Caenorhabditis elegans: one gene and its partners. The protein of the gene in region 2 purifies or fractionates together with the protein of the main gene of each other region. This does not show direct contact. Each region holds a gene or a part of one and is shown on either strand. Other genes may lie near its edges.

Region 1 (9,934 bases), on a different chromosome or scaffold from region 2:
CATGGCTATTGCGAAATACTAGAAATCCCCCTAATTTTCAAGGACCGACGATTCAGAAAGAAGGCGCAGCAGCGGCAGTGACGAAGGCGACGGCCCATTGTGTCAATCGATGGGGAAAACGAAAAAAAAAAACGAAACGGACAGGCGGCGCGCAGCGCGGGCGCTCCGCTTCTTCACCGCTCTCTGGGTCACATTTGAATGAATCAGTCGCGTTTGGGCGCAACATCGGGACGTTTTCTGTTCGTTCGGTCTATTTTCCCCCGTTCTGTGATCGCTTTCATGTCTGAAAAATATATGATTCATCACTTTTGTTCTGTATTGTTTTAGATTCCAGAATTTTCATGTGTCATCATCCATTTCTCGTTGTCGACCTTATTTTTCTCCATTTGAATTTTTCCTCTATTGACTGGGCACACCAACAGCCGGATGGACGGGGACACTCTTGAGAAGTGGGGTCGCGGCGGCGGTTGTGTAGTGTAGTTGAGGAGGACACTGCAGCAGTGCCGGAAGATGCGACGATCAACGACTCCGTGTGTCGCACATTACAACATCTGGCACTTCGACATATTCCTCAATTGATTCTTCTATCCTCTCTCGTTTTGAGAAACCATTTGACTGGCCTTCGTCGTCTGACGAACTGAGCCCGGCGACGACAATCAATACATGTGTCTGTCTCCATGAGAAGTGTGTGAGTGACACATCGTTCAAACACAAGATACGCAGTCGTACTGTCCTTGAACAATTCTCACAGTCGTTCGTTTTTTCATAATTTTGTAGCTAATCATCAGTTTTCCAAATATTTCGGCTGCTTATTGGGAGACCATTTAAAGGGGAAGTAGAGTTTGTGGCTATTTTAATTAAATCGACTAAAACTGGTCCATTATCCAAAAATGTTTATGGCCGGTCAAAATTTCGAAAAAAAGAGCCAAATTTTGCTAAAATCTGAATTTTCTCAAACTTTTCTTTGTCACAGCCGCTGGATTTTAGTTTTTCGGAAATTATCACCCTTTGATCCTTAATTTGGTAATTTATCTCGCGGAAATTCGTTGATTGAGACAACTTTTAGGCCGATAGGCATACAATTTTTATCATTTTTGGATGCCCATCGGCTCAAAAAGTGTCTCAATCAACGAATTTCCGCGAGATAAATTACCAAAATAAGGATTAAAGGGTGATAATCTCAGAAAAACTAAAATCCAGCGGCTGTGACAAAGAAAAGTGTGCGAAATTTCAGATTTTAGCAATAGTTGGCCATTTTTTCGAATTTTGGCCGGCCATGAAAAATTTTTGGAAATTTTTTGTGAAGTCTCATTATGAAATTCGGTGATTTTGGACCAGTTTTTGTCTATTTAAGCAAAATACTACAAACTCTACTCCCCTTTTAAATTAAATCGTCCGAGTTTTCTTGGACTATTTAATATTTTTGCATACGAAAAACACTGTCTTGAAATACACTGTCAAATTATTATACTGAGCGACTAGAAAAGATTCTAAAAATAATTCTCAAGATGACTAATTCATTTTTTTATTTCTGAAATGAGCGTGTCTTATTGTTTCGCAATTGCTAATGACTTTGACTCCTCCCACGTCGTTGGCGTTTTTGTTCGTTCCTCGATCAATTGGTGGCTCCCTCACAGTCAATTTGCCCTTTCTCTACGCCCACGCAAACCATCTGAACACTTCTATGCTAATAATGCTCATTCCGACTTGAATTCAAGGAAAATGATATGTTTTTTTTCTCACTGAACTTTCACCCGATGTTGAAATAACCCGAAAGTAGAGAATATGTCGGGGGGGGGGGGGGGGGTAGTAGATGGGCGGTGTAGTTGTCTGCGCGTACGCTAAGTGGAGATTATACGCTTCGACTGTCTCGTAGCACCGAGTTCCTTTCGCTAATTACTCTCATCAACTATTGTTTCCACTGTGTGTGTGTCCTCCTCCGGGTATGTCCTTTTCGTTTGCCCCTTGTTCAAAGCCGAAATCGATGTTGTTTTCAATATTTTTAACGTCTGGAAACAATTCAAAAATTGTTCCAAACCCTCTCCGTCATTCTCGTACCGCCATGCGCTGACTCATACACCGTCGTCGTCCTCCTCGTTGTTGTGTACAACACAAAAACGGGTGGTTTTCTAATCTTTCTCCTTCCCAGTTGATACCATAGTGTATATAACGTACTCCTCGATGCTGAATGATGATTCATACGATCAATAGCAGTGCATTCCTACTTTTTTCTAATTTTGTCAGTACTTTCTAGAAACTGAAGCCCGGGAGAAAGTGCAAACGGATTCACCACTAGGTAGTCCGTATCTGTTTTTTTTTGGTATTTCGGGCAGAGCAAGTAAGGTCGGGGGACAATGGTGTGTGTGTTGCACATGGCGAATGTTTGCTCGGTTCTCGCTATTTTCTCTCTTCACTCTCTTCTCTACCAGCTCTTCAGATCGTTCACTCTCTCTCTCCGGGAGGGGACGGAAAAGATGACCATTCGGGCTGGGTGCTGCTGCTGCTGTTGCTGCCCGTTTCATTTTCTCTCCGCTCCCTCTCCTCTACTTGTCACTATCTCGCTCTATCTCTTCGTCTCTTCATTTTCCTCGTGTCCCTCGTCCTCGTCTATCTAAGCGGACGCGCTCGCACAGGCAAGCACTCTGACTGGCGGTTGTGTTGTTGGGGCTGGGGGTTAGGCCGAAGGGACGGCCCCGTCTCTTTTTTTTTGCGTCTTTCTCATCCTGCTTCTGTGCCAATCACAATGGACTTTCTTGGCTCTTGTTCTCTCTCTCTCTCTGTTTCCATCACTTTACCAATTTACCTCACACTTATGACCCTTATGACTCTTATCTGGGTTACACTTTTTCTTTGTGTTGAGCTTCTTCACTATCGTTTTTCCCTTCTCGTGATTCGATTATTGATTGATTAAAATCATTTTTTCTTGCAGGAAACTCAACTTGATTCTATTTCCCCACCACAAACCAACAACAACATCTCAAAATGGTGAGTTTGAGATTTTAATTCGCTTCAATATTTTTAAATTGAAAGAAATTTGGAATGTTATGTTTGGCGTGTTTTTTTTTCATTGAATTTCCAAAATTTCACACTAAAATGGAATGGTTTTCTCTTCTTTTTGCCTAACCTAACCTAACCTATGTGTGCCTGTTTTCTAGAGTTCCGGTGTCATGGTCGACCCAGATGTGCAGACATCTTTCCAAAAGCTCTCCGAGGGACGCAAGGAGTACCGCTACATCATTTTCAAGATCGACGTGAGTTTTTAAAAAATAAAATCTGAATCAGATCAATTTAAAAAAATTTCGTGCCACTTTTTGTTTTTTTTGTTGAAAAATTTGAAAAATCCTCAAATTAATTGTTTTAGATGAACATTATTGATTTCCCTATTAAATTGCAACATTTTCCAGGAGAACAAGGTGATCGTGGAAGCCGCGGTGACTCAGGATCAGCTCGGCATCACTGGAGACGACTATGATGACTCTTCCAAGGCCGCTTTCGACAAATTCGTCGAGGACGTGAAGTCTCGAACCGATAATCTGACCGATTGCCGCTACGCCGTTTTCGACTTCAAGTTCACGTGCAGTCGTGTTGGAGCCGGCACGAGCAAGATGGACAAGATCATCTTCCTCCAGATGTAAGCGCTTGATCCTATTGGTGAATTATTGTACCATCTAATTTTTTTTCCAGCTGCCCAGATGGTGCTTCTATCAAGAAAAAGATGGTGTACGCTTCGTCCGCCGCCGCCATCAAGACTTCTCTCGGAACCGGCAAAATCCTTCAGTTCCAGGTGAGAAATCTCGATAATTTTTACAATTAGAAAAAAAAAATCAAATTATTAAAATTTCAGGTGTCTGACGAGAGCGAGATGAGCCACAAGGAACTCCTCAACAAGTTGGGCGAGAAATACGGAGATCACTAGATACACGGGTCTCTTCCGAAGTCGTCGTCGCCGTCACATCCTCGATTATTCTCGTCTCTGTCTGTCGCATTTTCTCCATTGCTTGATGATTTCTGATCGTTTTCACGTGTGCTCTTTGAATGTGCTAGTGCGTTGTTGTGGTGCTTTTTTCTTACCAACCTCACTACTTGTTCATTTTTTTTGGTGTCCTCAAAGAATCATCCGTTGAAAACATGACTGCGGCGATGTGTTTCGATGATGTTTCTTAAGCGTCTTCTTCACATTTTCACCTCTTAACATTGCTAATTTATCCTCTATTTTTATCTGTTTTTTTCCTGATTGACGATTGTTTTTTTCCTGGGGGCAAGTGATTGTGTGTGCCCACTAATTTAATACAATGTGCCGGGTAACCTTCCGTACTATGAAGAAGTTGAGACATCCCCTCAGATTCTCAGTATCTTTATTGTTTAGTGAAATGCGTGGTAAATCCCTTCTCATTTACGATTATATTCTCTCTCTCTTGTAAAGCTTTCTATATTTATATAGTGTACTTTCCCCCACTGGAACTCTCAATCTCCATCTCCTCACCATTCTTTTTTTTTCAAATCTTCTATTGCGTATTCATTTCCCTTCTTACTTTTTTCCCACCCTGCCCGATCCCCTTGAAGAATCACCCACCAAACCGTTCATGTGCTGTGCTTTTTAAGATTATCACAATGAAATCAAGTTTGGAGTTTCTAACAATTGTTTTAACACGCGTGGAAAATTTTGAAAGGAAACAAAAATTGACATAAAAACCAGAAAAATATTACAAACACCTTTGAGTACAGGCTTCCGGAGTCAAAGTTGATCCATCCTGCAAGAACGCCTACGATCTTCTCCACAACAAGCATCAGCACAGCTACATCATCTTCAAGGTGAGTTATTCTGCGAAAAAAAAAATGCGTACTGCACAACACATTTGACGCGCAAAATATCTCGTAGCGAAAACTACAGTAATTCTTTAAATGAGTACTGTAGCTCTTGTGTCGATTTACGGGCTCAATTATTGCAATTTTCTTTATAAATGGTTTCCGTGAATCGACACTAGCGCTACAGTAGTCATTTAAAGGATTACTGCAGTTTTCGCTACGAGATATTTGATGTATTTTGCGCGTCAAATATGTTGTGCAGTACGCATTTTCAGAGTTTTCTGTTCCCGTAATAATTAAATAATTTTCTAAATTTGATTTTTTAAAAATTTAAAAAATAAATAAATCGAAAAAAAATAAATCAAAAAATAATCAGATTGACAAAAATGACACCGCCATCGTCGTCGAGAAGGTCGGAGAGAAGAATGCTCCGTACGCCGAGTTCGTTGAGGAGATGAAGAAGCTTGTTGAGGACGGAAAGGAGTGCAGGTAAGCCTAAGCCTGAGACTAGGCCTGAGCCTAAACCTGAGCATAAGCCTAAGCCTAAGAATAAGCCTAAGCCTAACACTAAGTCTTAGTCTGAGCCTAAATGTCGCGTGTATTCTACGCGAAAAGTTGTGTTTTTGCGCCAAAATACGGTGCTAGGTCTCGACACGACTAATTTTTACTAGTTAAATGAATGCAGAGAAAAGAAGGTGTGCGTCTTTAAATAGTACTGTAATTTCAAAATTATTGTTTCCATGGAATGTTTTATTATCGAAAAAAATTCACATAAATATTAAGAAACTGTGAAACATTAATGAAAATTTGGCAGCAATGGAATTTTGAAACTACATTACTCTTTAAAGGCACATATGATTTTGAATTTAACAAAAAAGTTTCGTGTCGAGACCAGTTGGTGCAAAAAAACCGCAAAATTTCTTGTCTGGATAATTATCAAACAACAAAACTCGTCGGAAATCTCGATTCAATTCATCCTTTTTTGCAGATATGCTGCCGTCGACGTCGAGGTTACTGTCCAAAGACAGGGAGCCGAGGGAACCAGCACACTCAATAAGGTCATCTTCGTTCAATAGTGAGTTTCAACATTGAAATATTACACATACACGTGGTGCCAGGCTGTCCCATTGCGGTTTGATCTAGAAAAAATGCGCGATTTTTTTCCCAAAGAAAATTTGACGTCAGCACGTTCTTAACCATGAGAAATCAGTTGAGAACTCTGCGTCTCTACTCCGGCTTTTTTTGTAGATCTACGTAGATCAAGCCGGAATGCTCGAAATTGTCCGCATTTTTGCGTTAAAAAAACGGTAACACTATAATTTCGCAGCAACGAATGTTTTAAATTACTGTACTCTTTAAAGGCGCATACCTGTTTGAATTTAACAAAAATTTGTCGTGTCGAGACCAGATAGCGTAAAATTTCGCGTCTGGAAAATCTAGAAAATCGTCCAAACAAAAAACCAAGAAAGTTGATAAAAATGAACGAATTTACTGAAATTCTCGTTGGAAAAGTCGGCCATCAACTAGGAAGCCTCGGCCACCAAAAAGTCGGCCATAAACTAGAAAAATTCGGCCACCAAAAAACCGGCCATCAACTAGGAAACCTCGGCCATCAACTAGAAAACTCGGCCATCAACTAGAAAACCTGGGCCATCAAAAAGTCGGCCATCAACAAGGAAAAGTCGGTCATAAACTAGAGAAACTCGGCCATCAACTAGGAAAACTCGGCCATCAACTAGAAATACTCGACCAGCAACTAGAAAAACTCGGCTATCAACTAGGAAAACTCGGCCACCAAAAAATCGGCCATCAACAAGAAAAAGTGGGCCATCAACTAGAAATCCTCGGCCACCAAAAAGTCGCCCATCAACTAGGAAAACACGGCCATCAACTAGAAAACTCGACCATCAACTAGAAAACCTCGGCCATCAAAAAGTCGGCCATTAACTAGAAAAAGTCGGCCACCAAAAAGTCGGCCACCAACTAAAAAACCTCGGCTATCAACTAGGAAAACTCGGCCACCAAAAAGTCGGCCATCAACTAGAAAAACTCGACCATCAAAATGTCGGCCATCAACTAGAAAACCTCGGTCATCAACTAGAAAACCTCGGCCATCAACTAGGAAACCTCGGCCATCAACTAGAAAAACTCGGCCACCAAAATGTCGGCCATTAACAAGAATCTCTTTAAAAAAATTTCCATGTATTTCCACATTCCACTTCCCAAACTCCTATTTTCAGCTGCCCAGACAACGCCCCAGTCCGCAGACGTATGCTCTACGCCTCCTCGGTCCGTGCTCTCAAGGCGTCCCTCGGACTCGAGTCCCTCTTCCAAGTACAGGCCTCCGAGATGTCGGACCTCGACGAGAAGAGCGTGAAGAGCGACCTGATGTCCAACCAAAGAATCTAAGCCTGTCCAATTGAATCCCAATCACAAATTACAATTTCTTTCTGGTACTACTAGTCTCTCGGACCATCCAAGCCCGTCAAAAATGTGCCTTTAACTTTTTTTTTCTTGTTAAATTATGACTTTTCTTGTCTGTAATTCTGATTTCCCATTTTCTCTGGAATTTTTAAAAAAATATTTTTCTTTTAATAAATAAATCCGTTCCTTCAGAACATGTCAGTTGTTGTTTTCCATGACGTCCAGACGACAAAAAACAATAAAATCAATTACCCATTTTTTCCAGAGCCCCCAAGAGCCCTCAGATGTTATAGAGCACAACACACCCCCCGAGAGCATCTCTTTACTTTTGACCTGATGCCACTCGACTTGTGCTCACCGGCTCTCGGAGCACAAGCAGGAGCACAAGTTATGCTACTTTTCTTCGAATTTTGTTTGTTTGTTTCGAAACTTGAAACGAACAGCACGAAACATTCTTTTCTTTGGATAATTTTTAAAAATCGATTTTTTTTCGAAATCCAACAGAGTTGGCCCACGGGGTTCTGGCCTTCCTCATTGAATTTTTCGCGCTCCATTGACAATCGCCAGCCAAACAACGCCTGGGGAAAGTCGTGTACTCCACACGGACAAATGCATTTAGAAGTAAAATTTCTCACGACGCGACACGCAACGCGCCGTAAATCTACCCCAGATATGGCCGAGCCAAAATGGCCTAGTTCGGCAAATTCTTCCATTTCAATTTATTAGGGAAGCCAGAAATCCGTGAGTTGGCTTAGTTTTGTTCAAAAATCAGTTTTCGTAGTGTTCTGAAAACGGAAAAAAACATCGCGTTCCATTTGTTTCCCGTTGTTTTTAGATTCGTTTTTTTTCGCAAAAAATAATGGGAATCCTTTTCAAATAAATGTTCTCCAGATGCGGTTTTTCTGCATCATTTTTTCTAAGAAGAACACATAAATCTGATGTTTTTTCTGAGTAGATTTCAAGGTTTTTTTTTGCCATTTTGTGGGTTTACTTTTTTCTCTTGTCATCCTCCAGCCAAAGCCTAAGCCTGAGCCTAAGCCTAAGCCTAATTCTAAGCCTAAGCCTAAGCTTGAGCCTATGCCTAAGCCTAAGCCTAAGCCTAAGCCTAAGTATAAGCCTATGCTTAAGCAGAAGCCCAAGTCTAAACCTATGCCTAAGACCTAGCCTATGGCTAAGCCCAGGCCTAAGCCTAAGCCTAACACTAATTTCTTCCTGACTATTTCATCAAAGAAAACTATTGAAAAATGGTTGGCCGTGTAATTCCACGACCATGAATTTCGAGAACTACTGTACTTTTTTTCAGAGATAGTTGTTACGTGCTCTATCCGTTCGGCTCTTCAGTAAACAATACATATCGCAATATCCGTCATATTTTCAATAGTTCGGCTCTTTTCTGTGTACCGACATGCCTTCTTCTTATCCGATTGAAAGCTCAGACACTCTCGCAACACACACACACACAACCATTTCAATACGGATTTTTGATTTCTTAACATTTTTTTTTCTCGCTATCTTATATTACTTCCCTAGTATTTTCTGGCACTGGGCCAAGTGATGCTCGTATGATGAGCACAACATAGTTTTCATCCGTCCCCCCCCCCCATTGAGTTTTATTTTATCTTTTCGTTTTTCGTTTTCCATGAGCCCCATTCCCAACAACAACAGCTGACTTTTCGTCAAAGTCTCTCCGGATCTAGTGATCTCTAGGGCTTTGTTGAGGTGAAAGGTCATTGAAAGTTAAATTTTGTGGGAGAAAAAAAGGGTCTTGTGACGAAAAGGGATGACTAGGGGAGGTATCAGTTCTTTTGTTTGCTTTGGTATATATTTTGTGATTGTTCATTTAACGATTCTCATCTGGATCGGCTTTGATCGTTCACAAATTGAGTTTTGATGCTTTCCAGGTTGACACCTTATTTATTTGATACAAACATGCTAGTTTTCCTCAAAAACGTCGTATGCCATGACAACCTTGCGTCCATTCTTTTTGATATCTACCAGCTTCTATTTTAAAATTACAGAAAGTTTTTTCAGTGAAGCAAAACTAGTGTTACATGCAACCTATTTTTCCTCCAAACTTCAAACGATATATGTTTGATTCTAATTTATCACGATTAACTAGGTTATGGAAAACTTTTTGTCATTTTGTTTGGATCTGTTGCTTTTTTTTTGGCAATTTTCGGGCAATTTTACATGAGATTTTACCAGATTTTGGTTGTTTTATTTTCATTTTTTCAGAATTTTTTAATTTTCTGGAATTTCCTTCTTCTCTCTTTCTCCCAACGCCCAACATAAGCCTGAGCCTAAGCCTTAGCCTAAGCCTAAGCCTAACCCGAAGCCTAAGACTAAGCCTCAGTTAAAATTTAAGCCTAGAAATAAGCTTAAGTCTAAGCATAAGCATAAGCATAATCCAAAGCCTAAGCCTAAGCCTAAGCCCCAGCCTGAGGCTGAGTTTAAATCTAAGCCTAATCCTGAGCCTAAGCATAAGTCTAAGCCTAATTCTAAGCCTTAGCCTAAGCCTAAGCCTAAGCTTAAGCCTAAACCTAAAACTAAAAGCCAAGTTCCTACTTAATGAGAAACTTCACAGCTTGACCGTTATTTTCCGAGCTCTTACAAATAACTTCCTATTTACCATCGTTATTTGGCAAACGTTATTCCAGAAACAAAATGTCCTTCGACCTTGAAAGTTGCGAAAACTCCGAATCGT
Region 2 (6,067 bases):
AGTTCCAACTACCGACGATTCGCCAAAGTACGCTTACACGTTTACTGGAGAAGGATCCGATGCTGTGTACAGTATGTTTTTTGTTTGTTTTTATGAACTTGTAATAATTATTTTTCTTCAGAGTTTGAGCCATGCGTTGGAAAGATTCTTGCTATTCGCCGAGACGGAAAGTTTGTCGATCAACTTGCTGCCGGAGAAGAAGGAGCCATTCTTCTCGATCGGACAAATTTCTACGCCGAGCAGGGAGGTCAGATCTACGACGTCGGAGTTTTGACAAAAGTCAATGACGAGTCGAACGAGTTCAACGTGAGCAACTGCCAAGTTCGTGGTGGATACATCGTGCTTGTTGGATCCGCCGAAGGAAGCTTCTCAGTCGGTGATCAGGTCAACGAACGATTCGATGAAGACCGGAAGCAACTGATCATGAAGAATCACACCGGAACTCATGTCCTCAACTATGCTCTTCGCAAAGTTCTCGCCGATTCGGATCAGAAGGGATCACTCGTTGCTCCAGATCGTATGAGATTCGACTTCACCAACAAAGCTGGAATGACTGTTCAGCAAGTGAAGAAAGCCGAGGAATACGCTCAACAGCTGATTGACACAAAAGGACAAGTTTACGCCAAGAACTCGCCACTTGGAGAAGCCAAAAAAGTCAAGGGACTTCGTGCGATGTTTGATGAAACATACCCAGATCCAGTTCGTGTTGTCGCTGTCGGAACTCCAGTTGAGCAACTTCTCCAGAATCCTGATGCAGAGGAGGGACAGAACACGACTGTCGAGTTCTGCGGAGGAACGTGAGTACTAATTCTTTTTATATTTTATGATGATACCCGTTAAATTTTGATATAATTTTTATAATTTCAGCCATCTCCAGAACGTGTCTCACATTGGCCGCATTGTCATCGCATCGGAAGAAGCTATTGCTAAAGGAATCCGTCGTATCGTTGCATTGACAGGACCAGAAGCTGAAAGAGCCATTGCCAGAGCCGATCGACTGACTGCTCGATTAGAAGAAGAATCGAAGCATGCCGATAAGAAGGATGAGCTCTTGGCCAACAAGGATAAGTTCAAGGCTCTCCAGAAGAAGATTCAAGAAATTGTCGATGAAGCCAACGGAGCTCAGCTGCCATACTGGCGAAAGGATTCTATCCGTGAAAAGGCAAAGGCCATTCAGAAGACTTTGGATGGATACACAAAGGCACAACAAGCCGCTGTCGCTGAAAAGGTTCTTGGAGAAGCCAAGGAACTTGCTGCTGTCGCTGAGCAGCCTACTGTTCTCGTTCACGTCTTCGCCGCCAATGCTAACAGCAAAGCCATCGATAATGCTCTGAAACTTCTCAAGGACACAAAAGCAGTTATGGCTTTCTCTGTGAATGAAGATTCTGGAAAAGTTTTGTGTCTTGCTAAAGTTGATAAGGTGAGAAATTTGAAATTTTGAAACAATTCAGAAAAATAATATAATTTTTTCAGAGCTTGGTGAGCAACGGCCTGAAAGCCAACGAGTGGGTGAATGAAGTTTGCACAGTTCTCGGTGGAAAAGGTGGTGGAAAGGACGCAAATGCTCAGCTCACCGGAGAGAATGTCGATAAACTTGATGCTGCCGTCGAACTCGCCCAGAAATTTGCCCTTGCTGCAATCAATTAATTTCCCCAATTTTCAATCTATTTCCTGTTTTTCATATCGCTTCCTTTCCTCTATTTATTGTTGTCTGTTGCATTCTAGTTCATTGCTCTCCCTCCCCGTCATTATATTTATTTCGTATTTCTATTTTATGTTTCAATTTGTTTGCTGGTTTGTCGAGGTTTCAAAATGTTTATGCAGTAAATAGAGGCCAAACTTTTTCCCATTTCACGAAAACAACAATTTTGAGTGGGTTGGACGCGACAGCTGGACAGCTGCTCAACTCGCGGATCAACAACACCTCGATCGATTTCAAAAAAAAAAGTACCTTCGACTTGTCAGCCAACAAGTTTCGAAAGATTCTGGAGATTTCTGAAAGTGACGTGGCATTACACTTCAGACATCTCTAATTTGTGGCACAGCTATCTGAACATTACAATGGACAAAAATGTGAAGAACAACAAAAGAAACGGAACGGCAATGAATTCCAGATGGCGATGAATGTGTTTTACGGAGGAAAAGAGCAGATTTTTGCAATTTTGCAGATTAGAAAAATGATTTGAGAACAAATTCCAGACATATGCTTAAGAGATAAGTTTCTTGATTCCCGGTCGTGTACTGCTCTGGGACAATCAATTGATAAAAATATTAATATATCTATCCAATATATTCAATTATATATCCAAAAAGATATATCCAATTGAATTCGGGCGATTTTTCGTGTTTTATCATGAATTCTCTTGTTTTTCTAATGAAAATCGATAGTTTTGGACACAAATTTTATAGTTTTTTAGAAAATTATAAAATTTCATTATAAAATACGAAAAATCGCTTAAAACAGCCTTAAATTCAACAATTAGTAAATTAATTTAGTTGTCCGAGAGGAGTACACGGTTTGTCCGAGAGGAGTACACGCTTTGTCCGAGAGGAGTACACGGCCGAGAATCTATGAAATTCATTTCCGCGCGAAATTCGAATTAAAAAGTCTCAGCGGATGATTTCTAGATATTTGAAGGGCTATAACAAACTTTTGAGAGAATTTTGTGATGTTTTGCTTATTCACATGGCCCTGTCAATGCATTGGCTCCATTTTTAAGTCCGGCAAATGGAAAAAGTGGGTTACTGTACAACTTAAAGGCGCACACTATTTTTCGTCGATTATGGACTATTTCGATCGTGGCAAGAGCGGTAACCCTATTTTCGGGAGAAAAACACTGAAAATATTGGAAGACAAGAACTTGGAATTCAAATAATTTCCGGTGTAAATCGTGACGAGACCCTCTTGCGCCTTTGAAGTCTCAGGTCAGACGTTTCAACTTGAATGATAATCTCTGATATTTCAATGAATTTCAAAATATTTCGTTTTACACCGTAGAAACAAGTGACTCAGACCATTGGTCCGTTCGTTTCACCTCTCGCCACCCACCACTTCAAAACACCACGTCAGCAAATCTCTCCCCCGCAAGAGACTCCAGACGCACAATTGGTTCCCCCGAGCCATCTTCCTTCGGGAAGCTCCCCCGGTGTGGGCGGAGCTTGAGCATCTGATAAAAGCAAGGTCCGACGCGAGGAGAAGCTCATTGTCATTCTTTTTTGACTATCCCCCTTCTAAACACCATGGCCAATCGCACCACCGCCGGAGGAATCGGATTCGCTGTCCGCCAAAAGGTTTGGTGAATTTCAGTGATTTTGTTAGGCTATTCTTCATTTTTCAGCAAGACTCCAAGTTCATCGACAAGGAGGCCACTCTTCTTCTCGAATGGATCAAGAAGCTCTCCGGTGAGAACATCTCTACATCCGGAGAACGCGACAACTTCCACAACCTTCTCAAGGACGGAACCCTTCTTTGCAAGTGAGTTTTTGTTACCTAGTATTGTTCAACAAAATCTTAAAATTTTCAGAGCCGCCAACGGAATCGAGGCCGGATCAATCAAGAAGGTGCAAAAGCCGATCTCGACCTTCGCATGCATGGAGAACATCAACGCATTCGTCGAGTTCGCCAAGAAGCAGGGAGTACCAAATGAGGAGACATTCCAGTCTGTGGAGCTCGTCGAAGGACGCGATCTTTTCTCCGTCTGCGTCACTCTTCTCTCGCTCGGCAGAGTTGTAAGTTTATCTAAAATTTGACTTCAAGCTATAAAAATTGTAATATTTTCAGCTCCAAAAGGCCGGAAAGACCAACCCATTCGCCTAAAAACCAACCCATCCAACTCAAGAATTCCAAAAATGGCCAAGCCCTTGCAATGTTTCACCCGATACCTTCTCATATCCTAATAATATGATTTTCTTCTTTTCTTCTTTTTTTGTTGTACAAAACAAAATAAAGTTGTTTGGTCAACAAAGCTCGATTCTTCTCTCTTTTCTGCCTCAAGTCAGTGACTGCTCTGATGGCACGCAGCTGTTCCAAAGATGTGTAACGTTTCTCTGGTTTCTATACGCCGGGATGTGATCTCTAGTGGGCTTCACAGCAAAAACATTAATGGATTATTTGGGGGCGAATGGCGAGCACAGATTTTGCTCCGATGGCGCTCGGCAACTAGTGATAGGTTGAGGTGGTGTTGCAAAGTATGATGACAGTCGGAAGATCATAAGATTGATCATACAACTTGGTAGTTGACAATAAGAATGAAATTTCTTGTGGTTGTAGAGTTGGTAAAACTGCGCGTTCTAAATAAATTTGACGATCTATTACCGATCGAGGTTCAGGCACGGCAGGAAATTTCAATACTGGAACTTTTCGAGTTGTATTGTGCAAAAACACAATTTTCCAAGAAATACCATATTTCTTCTATTACTTTTGCACTGGCTTTAGGACATCTCTGACGTTGAAATTTTTAACTTTGTAGGGTAAAAAATAACTACTGGATAATTAATAAAAAAAACTTTAAATAAATTCTTCATTACGAAAGAAGGAGCCTAACTTTAATGAACATTAAACAACTCACGATGTCTCTATTTAAATATTAAATAGAGCACATCTAAAAGATTTTTTTTAATTGAACGCACTGACTTTGAGTTAATTCAAAAACTTTTTTTCAAATTTAGCTTCATCATTTTTGTTTTAGAGATATCTGCCAAAATAGCAGTAGGCAAGAGTCAGGCATGAATGTGCCTACGTGGAATGCTGACAATTCTCTGGTAATTTCCTCATTTTTCCAACAATCAGTCCACTTTATTATCAGTCAGTTAAAATTTCTACTTCCCTTGGCTCTACTCAAAGTGCCAATCAAATGAGGAATGCTCTATTTACAAATGTATTTAAAAATTGCAAATGTTCACTAGTTTTCGGTCTTCATTATTTTTGTTTTCTCTTGTTTTTTTCGGTTCCAATTTTTGTTCTTACCAGCGTGGGAGTATCGAAAGCTGTGAGCCAAGTGCAATAATGTCACCTGATCTGATTTCTCAAAACATTCAAAAAACATAAAGCAAGATCCCATCGAAAATTGCAAAGGGAGCTTTCAGAAGAATACATAAAATTATGTAAAACACCACATACGTACTCTATAATTATCCGTTATGTTATTGCAGTTTCAGCGTTGTTTCAGAGGTGCGGAGTATGTAAGATTGTAGAGGTAACTGAGTGTAAATTAGGTGTTTGGTCGCTTTTATCTGGTGATTAAAATCAGTATACTTATTTCAACAGGTACGGTTCTTAGGATTTTAGTACTATAGTTATTTAGAACTAAATTTAAAAACCAGTGCACATTTGAAATTCCCAATTCTCCACAGTTTTCAGTTTAAAAAAATTTGAAAACCAGTGCACATTTGAAATTTTATATTCTCTATAATTCTCGGTTTAAAATATTTTAAAAACCAGTGCACATTTGAAATTCTCAATTCTCCACAGTTTTCAGTTTAAAATATTTTAAAAACCAGTGCACATTTGAAATTCCCAATTCTCCATAAATTTCAGTTTAAAAAAATTTGAAAACCAGTGCACATTTGAAATTTTATATTCTCTATAATTCTCGGTTTTAAATATTTTGAAAACCAGTGCACATTTGAAATTCCCAATTCTCCACAGTTTTCAGTTTAAAAAATTTTGAAAACCAGTGCACATTTGAAATTTTATATTCTCTATAATGCTCGGTTTTAAATATTTTAAAAACCAGTGCACATTTGAAATTCCCAATTCTCCACAGTTTTCAGTTTAAAAAATTTTGAAAACCAGTGCACATTTGAAATTTTATATTCTCTATAATTCTCGGTTTTAAATATTTTGAAAACCAGTGAAGTCTTGAATTTCCATATTCCCCATAATTCTCGGTTTTAAATATTTTGAAAACCAGTGAAGTCTTGAATTTCCATATTCTCCATAATTTTCAGTTTAAAAAAATTTGAAAACCAGTGCACATTTGAAATTCCCAATTCTCCATAATTTTCAGTTAAAAAAAAATTGAAAATCAGTGCACATTTGAAATTTTATTTTCTGCTAATATTTAGA
Region 3 (6,827 bases), on a different chromosome or scaffold from region 2:
ATTAAGTCTCTGATTTTCCAGAAACAACCACACCCTTGCCCGTTGCATAGCATGTGAAGAATTCCAAGATCCAAAATGCTCCTACCTTTTCGACATCAACTACACTGCGTGGGAACCGATGCGACATCACATGTATAATATGACGGGAGAAGTCACCCAGGTACGAGGATTATGACGTTTTACATAGATTGGGGGGATATGGCAAGTAATAAATATTTTATTGGCGGTGGTGGCCAGGAGCTGAATAGAGAATGAGATTGTTGAATTGCAGTTGATGGGCGAAAACTGCTGCATTGTTGCCTGGGACAATGGTCAACAGATTCATTTGCCAAAGTCTGCGCTCAGTAAGGTTCCAGGAATGCTGCATCAGTGATCAAGAAGAAGATACTCGAAAATATAATGATTCCAAAAAATAAATAAATTATTTATATATTTCTAATTTTGCATTGAAGTTTAGGCTTGGGCTAAGACATAGGTTAGGGTCAGGCTTGAGCTAAGGCTTAGGCTTAGGCTTAGGTTCAGGCTCAAACTCAAGCTTGAGCTTATTCTCGAGCATTTGAAACATTGTTCGTGTCGAAACCAGGTTCCGTGTTGCTTCTGAAACTTTGATGTTCAAAAAATTCTGAAAAATATAAAAGTTGCAAAAATATTACATTCAATTTGTAAAAAAATTAATTTCTGAAATTTCAAAAAAAAAAGAACTGAAAGTTTATGTTTCTGGAAATTTCAAAATTTTTAATCCAAAATTTTTAGAATTTCAGAACTATTTCTTGAATGTTGTTTTTTTCGGAATTTTCAAATTTCTAGAAAATTTAAATACTTCTGAAACTGTAGTTTTTTGAATTTTCAGAATATAATGAATATCAGAGGTTTTGAATTGTTAGTTGTTTTTAGATACTGAAATAATTTTTGGCGATTTTCGGCTTTCAGAATTTTCAGAATATTTTGATTATTTGAGGTTCTGAATTGTTGGTTTTTTGAAAGATTTTTCCATGAAACTTTTTTGCGATTTTCTGCAAAAATTCCCACGAAAAATCTCAAAACTGGAAGGTATAAATGCGGTGACAAATATTAAAAAAAAACAATTCTCTGATTCCGTACAATTTTGCAAAAATTTCCAGCAAAGCGACAGGTATCTTCTGATCTCATTCACTTCAAGTTAACGTCTATATTCTTTTCAACTCAGCGGGCTCAAGTCCTCTTGTGTCTTTTATAATTACATGTAGCATTAGGTTTCCACAACGACCACGTCTCCGTGCTCTTTTTGAAACACCCATAATTTACATTCCATCAGACAGCTCGATTCTGATTGAAGTTTTCACTTTTTTCGAAATTTATGTATTGCTCCCCCCGGGTTACAAGCATATGTATAGTCGATTTTGAAACGATTTTGTTTCACTGAAAGTTTAAAAAAATGTTTTTTGAAACCTAGAAAAATGTGTTTTTTATTATATTTTCCCCAGAGTTGCATTTCTTTCTAGCAAATTAGAATGCCCAGAGTAGTTCAAAAAAATGTTTTGCCCCTTGTCTTTGTGATATCTTTTTCCGTACCTTCCTCCAAACTTCTCACCACAACCATTATATGGGCGGAGCCTAATAAACCCCTCCTGTTTCACAATTCAAATTTCCAGGTACATCATGTCATCAAAAGAGCTCTATAGACTCAAAACTTTCGACGATCACTATTTCGAAATGTCCACCGAATCAATCGGAGATCCTCTCCCAGATGGCAAGCCAAGTCCAACAGGGAAAAGCTTCCAACTATGTGATACCAGTTCCGAACGTCAAAGGAATTACCATGAAGATGGTTGTCACCTGGTGCATCCGTCATCGAGTCGAAGTTCCGAGCACTTCTACGTGGGAAGTTGACTATGTTAAATCATTGGATCGAGAGGAACTGAAAGATGCGATATGGGCCGCCAAGTATCTTCGAATGCCAATTCTTATTAATATTACTAGTTCTGAACTGTTTTTGCGAGCCGAAAATACACCGGTAGAGAGGTTAGATGAAGTGTATCCGATGCCGCACTGTGTAGGCAGAGCTCCGGAGAGAAGCACCAAAATCACCATTCACAAATTCAAATAAACTTGGATACAATTATTTTTGTTTTCTTTTAGTACTCAGTTCATAAATATATTAAAGTGGGATCCATCTTCGTTTTTTAGTGATTTTACAAAAGTTTTATAGTAGAAAAAAACAGAAAATAAACTGTTGCGTTCAATGCTGAAACATTTTTCAATGTTTGAAATGATAATTTTATTCGAGATTTCCAATGAATAAATAACTTTTCATAGAAGGTAGTTTTGGGAAAAAAAATTGGAAATTTTCGCGTCCAGAAAGTATGGAGTCCTATCAATGACTGAAAATATAAAATACTCTATAAGAATAAGAAATTGATATGTTAATAATCAGAAAAATACAATAATTAAAAAAATTCATAGAATCAAGTGAATTATTAACCAAAACTTTAATTCTATGCCATTTCAATTGCTGTTCATCGCGTGTATCGAATTCATTGACTTGCTTTGAACCAACAAATCAATCAATGCCCTCAACATTTTTCTCAATATTATTAAACATGTTGGCTTCAGAAAAAAGTGCTCTTTCATCTCCCTCCGCCTACTCATCTCTCCATCTCTGCCCCTCAAATCTCTCAGCTTCCGTCACCTGTTACTGACGGAATTGATCAGTGAGAAGCTCTTCGAGCGTTTTCATTACATATGTTCAGCCATCTTATTAGTTCTAAAAGGTTAGTTTCAGAATGGTTTTGGCTCCGTTTTTCGAGAAAGCTCCATCGCTTATCATTGCTCCAGACGGATCAGTTCTGTTCGAATGCATCTGTAATGCGAATCCACAACCAACAGTTAAATGGTAAAAGATTTTGGTTTATGAACCCCTAACCTTAACTACTGTAGGTTTTTGAAAGACAAAGAGCTGACTGGTGATCGTTACGTGTCAAAGATCAAGAAGATGGTTGGCAAGTTCACAGTTACACTGCATATCAAGGTAAGTAAGATTTTTGTAATACTGATAAACTGATCGGGATTCTAGATTAAGAAGAGAATAAGAAGAAAGGAACGGATAGAACACTTGATCTGGTTTTTAGAGGGAAACTTAAATTGTAAGAACATGGTGTAATATTGACCTTCGAAACACTTGCCTCGAGATTTTGTTTCACATTTATTTTAAAGTAAAAAACTTCAGAAACAATTTATTGACCTAGAAAATGTCGGCCATTCTTTTAAAAACCGTTCCTGGAAAGTTTGGGATGGTCTCCGGCAGGAACAAAAATTGAAAATAGGCTATACAATTTCGGAAAGTTTTTTTTTTCATTTATCGGAATCGAACATATATTTAAGGGCTGTGCGGTATTTTTTCGGCAAACCCACAATAATGTTTATTTCAAAATGATAATCCAACTTTTTTCATGCAAAATTAACATAGAAACGTAGAGAAAGGTTTGTTCTATCTGGAAAAAATACAAATTTTTTTGAAAAGTTTGAAAAAAAAGTTCAAATAGTGTCTGAAAGTTGTCGTTTGTCTAAACACTTTTAACGGCACTTTTTTGGCAAACGTCAACTTTCATGCACTATTTTTGATTTTTTAAAATTTTCCAACAAAAATAAATATGCACCATAACTGGCTAGATTCACCGTCGATGCACCATATCAAGTTAGATGCACCGTAACTGGTCAAATGTACCATAACTAGTTAAATGCACCATAACTGGTTAGATTCACCGTAACTGGTCAAATGTACCATAACTTGTCAGATGCACCATAACTGGGTAGATTCACCATCGATCATCAGCATAATTCACATACAATTTTTTTGAAATTCAGCTCAAAAATGAAGCTTGATGATGAAAATTAGGCAATGGGAATATTCATACTTTTTGAAAATAAAATTACTTTATATTAAAAATTTCAAAAAGTTGCTAAAAAATTGCCTCAATGCCGTAACACCCATCGGCATACTCACTTGGCACATTTTAAATCAAATGCCAATTTTGATCACTTTTTCATAATCTTCACTAAAATAACGCTATCTTCTAAAAGTACAAATACTTCTCTATATTTTCATATGAATTTCCAGAAATGAGCATTCTAGATAAGTTAATAACAAAGAAAATGTTTCCAGAACCCTACCCAAGAGGACCAAGGAGTTTACAAAGTGACTGCTACAAACACCCATGGCTCACACTCCGTTGAGCAGCAGTACATCTACAAATGCACTGGAAAAGAGGTTTTCAAGACTCTTGACTAAATTCTGCTAGATTTCTTTAATATTTCTTCCAATAAACTTTTCCGTCGCTATACTGTATCTTAATATCACTCGTAGAAGAAACAACGTGGTTATCATGTGATAAGAAGGTCAGAAATAGAGAGAAAAGATGTCAAAAATACTAGGAATTTTGAGTGTAGAGTTCAGAAAAACAGATTGAACAAAAAACGAAGTATACCCGATCAGGGAGATCGGTTTTTGGAAGGAAATAAAAATGATCACATGTGCAGAATAGTAAAAATGTTGATTGAGAAAATTTTGTTGGCGACATGTTGGAGTCAGATCTGTTCGAGAGTTCAAGTTGATAAGAATTCTAGTTTAAAAGTTTAGACTTTTGGTTTGGACATCTGAACTACAGGCTGATAGTTTAAACTGTAGGTACAGAATAGTATGAAAACCGTACGAGCAAACTTTGATGTCAATTTCCTTTGGTAAACATTCAGAATCAAAGATGGGAATGTTTGAAGACTTTTATGAAGTGTGCCAAATATAAAAGTACAATTTTTCAAAAAAAAAAAAAATTGAAAATTTTAATTTTGCGGCAAAAAGTGGCGCTAATTTTGTCGCCTAAAGTCTGAACAATGGCCAACTTTTCTATTAATTCATTGCATATTATTATTTGAAAGTTTTGAACTTGCGGCATTGCTACAAATTTCATATTAAGCTCAATTCTATGTAGTTGAAAATTTGACAATTTGCCAAAACTTTGTCATTAGGGGGAAAATGTAGAAAACTACTTTTCTGGTGTCAAAATGACCGAATATCATAAAAAACGGTTGGATATTTTTTGAACATTTATTGAATTTTTAAAATTTAATGTCAAAAATTAATCAGTTTTTGCCACTCATAATTTTAGAAGTCGACCAAAAAAAATGTTCTCTACATTTTTTACACTGTAGTTTTGTTTTAATTATTTTTATTAAAATATTGTAGGGGTCGGAAAATGCGACATTATTCTGGATTTCCTTAAAAGCACATATTTTTCAAAATTTTGGCAATTTGCCAAAACTTTGACCGGAAAGCATGAAAAATCTAAAAACTTAGTGTTTTCATATGATATCAGATCGTCTTGAATCATTATAGTTTTTAAGACATTTCTAATAATTAGATTTTTCAAAATTTTCAGTTAAAATTTTGGTAAGTTACCCAAAAAAAATGTAGGCTTTTTTTTTTAGTAATTTAGAGTATTTTGCAAATTTGAACCACTGTAATCTACACACAATTCAACCATAATTGAAGTGTAAATGTTGTGGAAACAATAATTATTTTTGATTAACCTCTAGGTTTACATAGATTAGGCGAAAACTGGAAAACGAAATTTCAATTTTTATAAGAAAAATTTTACATTTTATCACTAGACAAGCGGTATCAAACAATTGGATCAAATGAATAGCTACATTAAGAAATATAAAATTAGACCTAAATCATAACTATCAGTTGAATCTAGCTTTCCCATATAGGCGAAAAACCTACCTCAAGGCCTACAAGGCAGGCGTAACTTGTGTTGAAAATGCCTACAGACAGAACGCGTATTAAAAACATAAAAATTGATTTTTTTTAAATGAATATAACACAAAAGTCAATAAACATTGAAGACTGCACAAAAAATTGTTTACCAAGTTTGATATTATCAACTTTGTCAGTCTCAGCGCTCCTACAAAATTCCATCACAGTATTATCAAAAGGTATTTCAATAAAAAAAAACCGTACTCCAAATTTCACTGTATCCATCACACTCCTCACTATTTTTACTACCACTCATAAAATCAGATGACTACTACTACTACTATCAACAATGGTGGCGGCAGTTAAGGAACCAAAAAAAAGTTGAAGTAAAGCACGGACATCTCTGTGTGCAGAAGATTCCAATCAAAACCGTATAACCGAAACCATATCCTTTATTCTCACAGTGTCTGCGTCTCACCGCTTCCGTCTTTTCCATATCTCAATTTCCCTATTTGATTTATGACCGTTTCGCGCGAAATCTTGTCTGCCACGCCATATTCTCTGGTGGAGGGAGGAGTGGAGTGTGTGAGGGTAAGGGGGGAAACAGTTGAACCATTTTGCAGCTGTTTCAAGTTGGTTGGTTTTAGGATTTAGTTTTTTTCAACTTGGAAACCTCCACTTTATATTCCATCAATTTTTGAGTGCCTCCCAGCTGTTTCAAATGTTCTAGGGTAGTTCATTAAAATTGATCTACTGATTTCAACTCCGTTTTTGTTATCAATTCCTGGCAAACATTGTAAAATTCCCCCAACACCATTTTTGTCATTATTGATAAGACAACTTTGTGCACTCCACTTCTATTTTGTTGCTTTTGCACTAGGCACACCCACTACATTTTTTGAAAACCATCTGGTCGAGGCGTTGCCCTTCTGCGCTGTACCGGATTTTTTTGTTTCATATTATCTTTTACAATATCATAAAAAGGCACACATTTATGCCTACGTGCCTGCCTACTGCCTTTTGCCGTGAAAAATATTATTTGAAGGACCCTCTCGCTAACGAGACAAGTGTTTGACAGCAAATGCCAAAATGACCG

The links. The genes of interacting proteins can lie anywhere in the genome.
Region 1: the proteins of cpn-3 (region 2) and unc-60 fractionate together in Caenorhabditis elegans (co-fractionation; one large-scale study listed by BioGRID). This does not show direct contact.
Region 3: the proteins of cpn-3 (region 2) and oig-2 fractionate together in Caenorhabditis elegans (co-fractionation; one large-scale study listed by BioGRID). This does not show direct contact.

The regions. Positions count from the first base shown.
Region 1 is NC_003283.11:1,472,157-1,482,090, forward strand, and holds unc-60 (Actin-depolymerizing factor 2), read left to right. Parts: upstream 1-2,929; 5' UTR 2,930-2,982; coding exon 2,983-2,985; intron 2,986-3,155; coding exon of another isoform or gene 3,156-3,251; intron 3,252-3,404; coding exon of another isoform or gene 3,405-3,631; intron 3,632-3,684; coding exon of another isoform or gene 3,685-3,784; intron 3,785-3,844; coding exon of another isoform or gene 3,845-3,916; exon of another isoform or gene 3,917-4,628; intron 4,629-4,725; coding exon 4,726-4,812; intron 4,813-5,182; coding exon 5,183-5,295; intron 5,296-5,794; coding exon 5,795-5,881; intron 5,882-7,046; coding exon 7,047-7,215; 3' UTR 7,216-7,420; downstream 7,421-9,934. Other genes in the region: F53E2.2 (Actin-depolymerizing factor 1, isoforms a/b), read left to right, coding at 2,983-2,985, 3,156-3,251, 3,405-3,631, 3,685-3,784, 3,845-3,916; C38C3.4 (non-specific serine/threonine protein kinase), read left to right, coding at 9,895-9,934. UniProt on the Caenorhabditis elegans protein: Depolymerizes growing actin filaments in muscle cells; required for the assembly of actin filaments into the functional contractile myofilament lattice of muscle.
Region 2 is NC_003279.8:3,984,738-3,990,804, forward strand, and holds cpn-3 (Calponin-homology (CH) domain-containing protein), read left to right. Parts: upstream 1-3,202; 5' UTR 3,203-3,240; coding exon 3,241-3,291; intron 3,292-3,338; coding exon 3,339-3,475; intron 3,476-3,524; coding exon 3,525-3,729; intron 3,730-3,781; coding exon 3,782-3,817; 3' UTR 3,818-3,962; downstream 3,963-6,067. Other genes in the region: aars-2 (Alanine--tRNA ligase, cytoplasmic), read left to right, coding at 1-71, 122-797, 868-1,420, 1,474-1,647.
Region 3 is NC_003280.10:13,004,099-13,010,925, reverse strand, and holds oig-2 (Ig-like domain-containing protein), read left to right. Parts: upstream 1-2,761; 5' UTR 2,762-2,762; coding exon 2,763-2,872; intron 2,873-2,916; coding exon 2,917-3,007; intron 3,008-4,141; coding exon 4,142-4,267; 3' UTR 4,268-4,313; downstream 4,314-6,827. Other genes in the region: F18A11.5 (BTB domain-containing protein), read left to right, coding at 22-160, 272-373.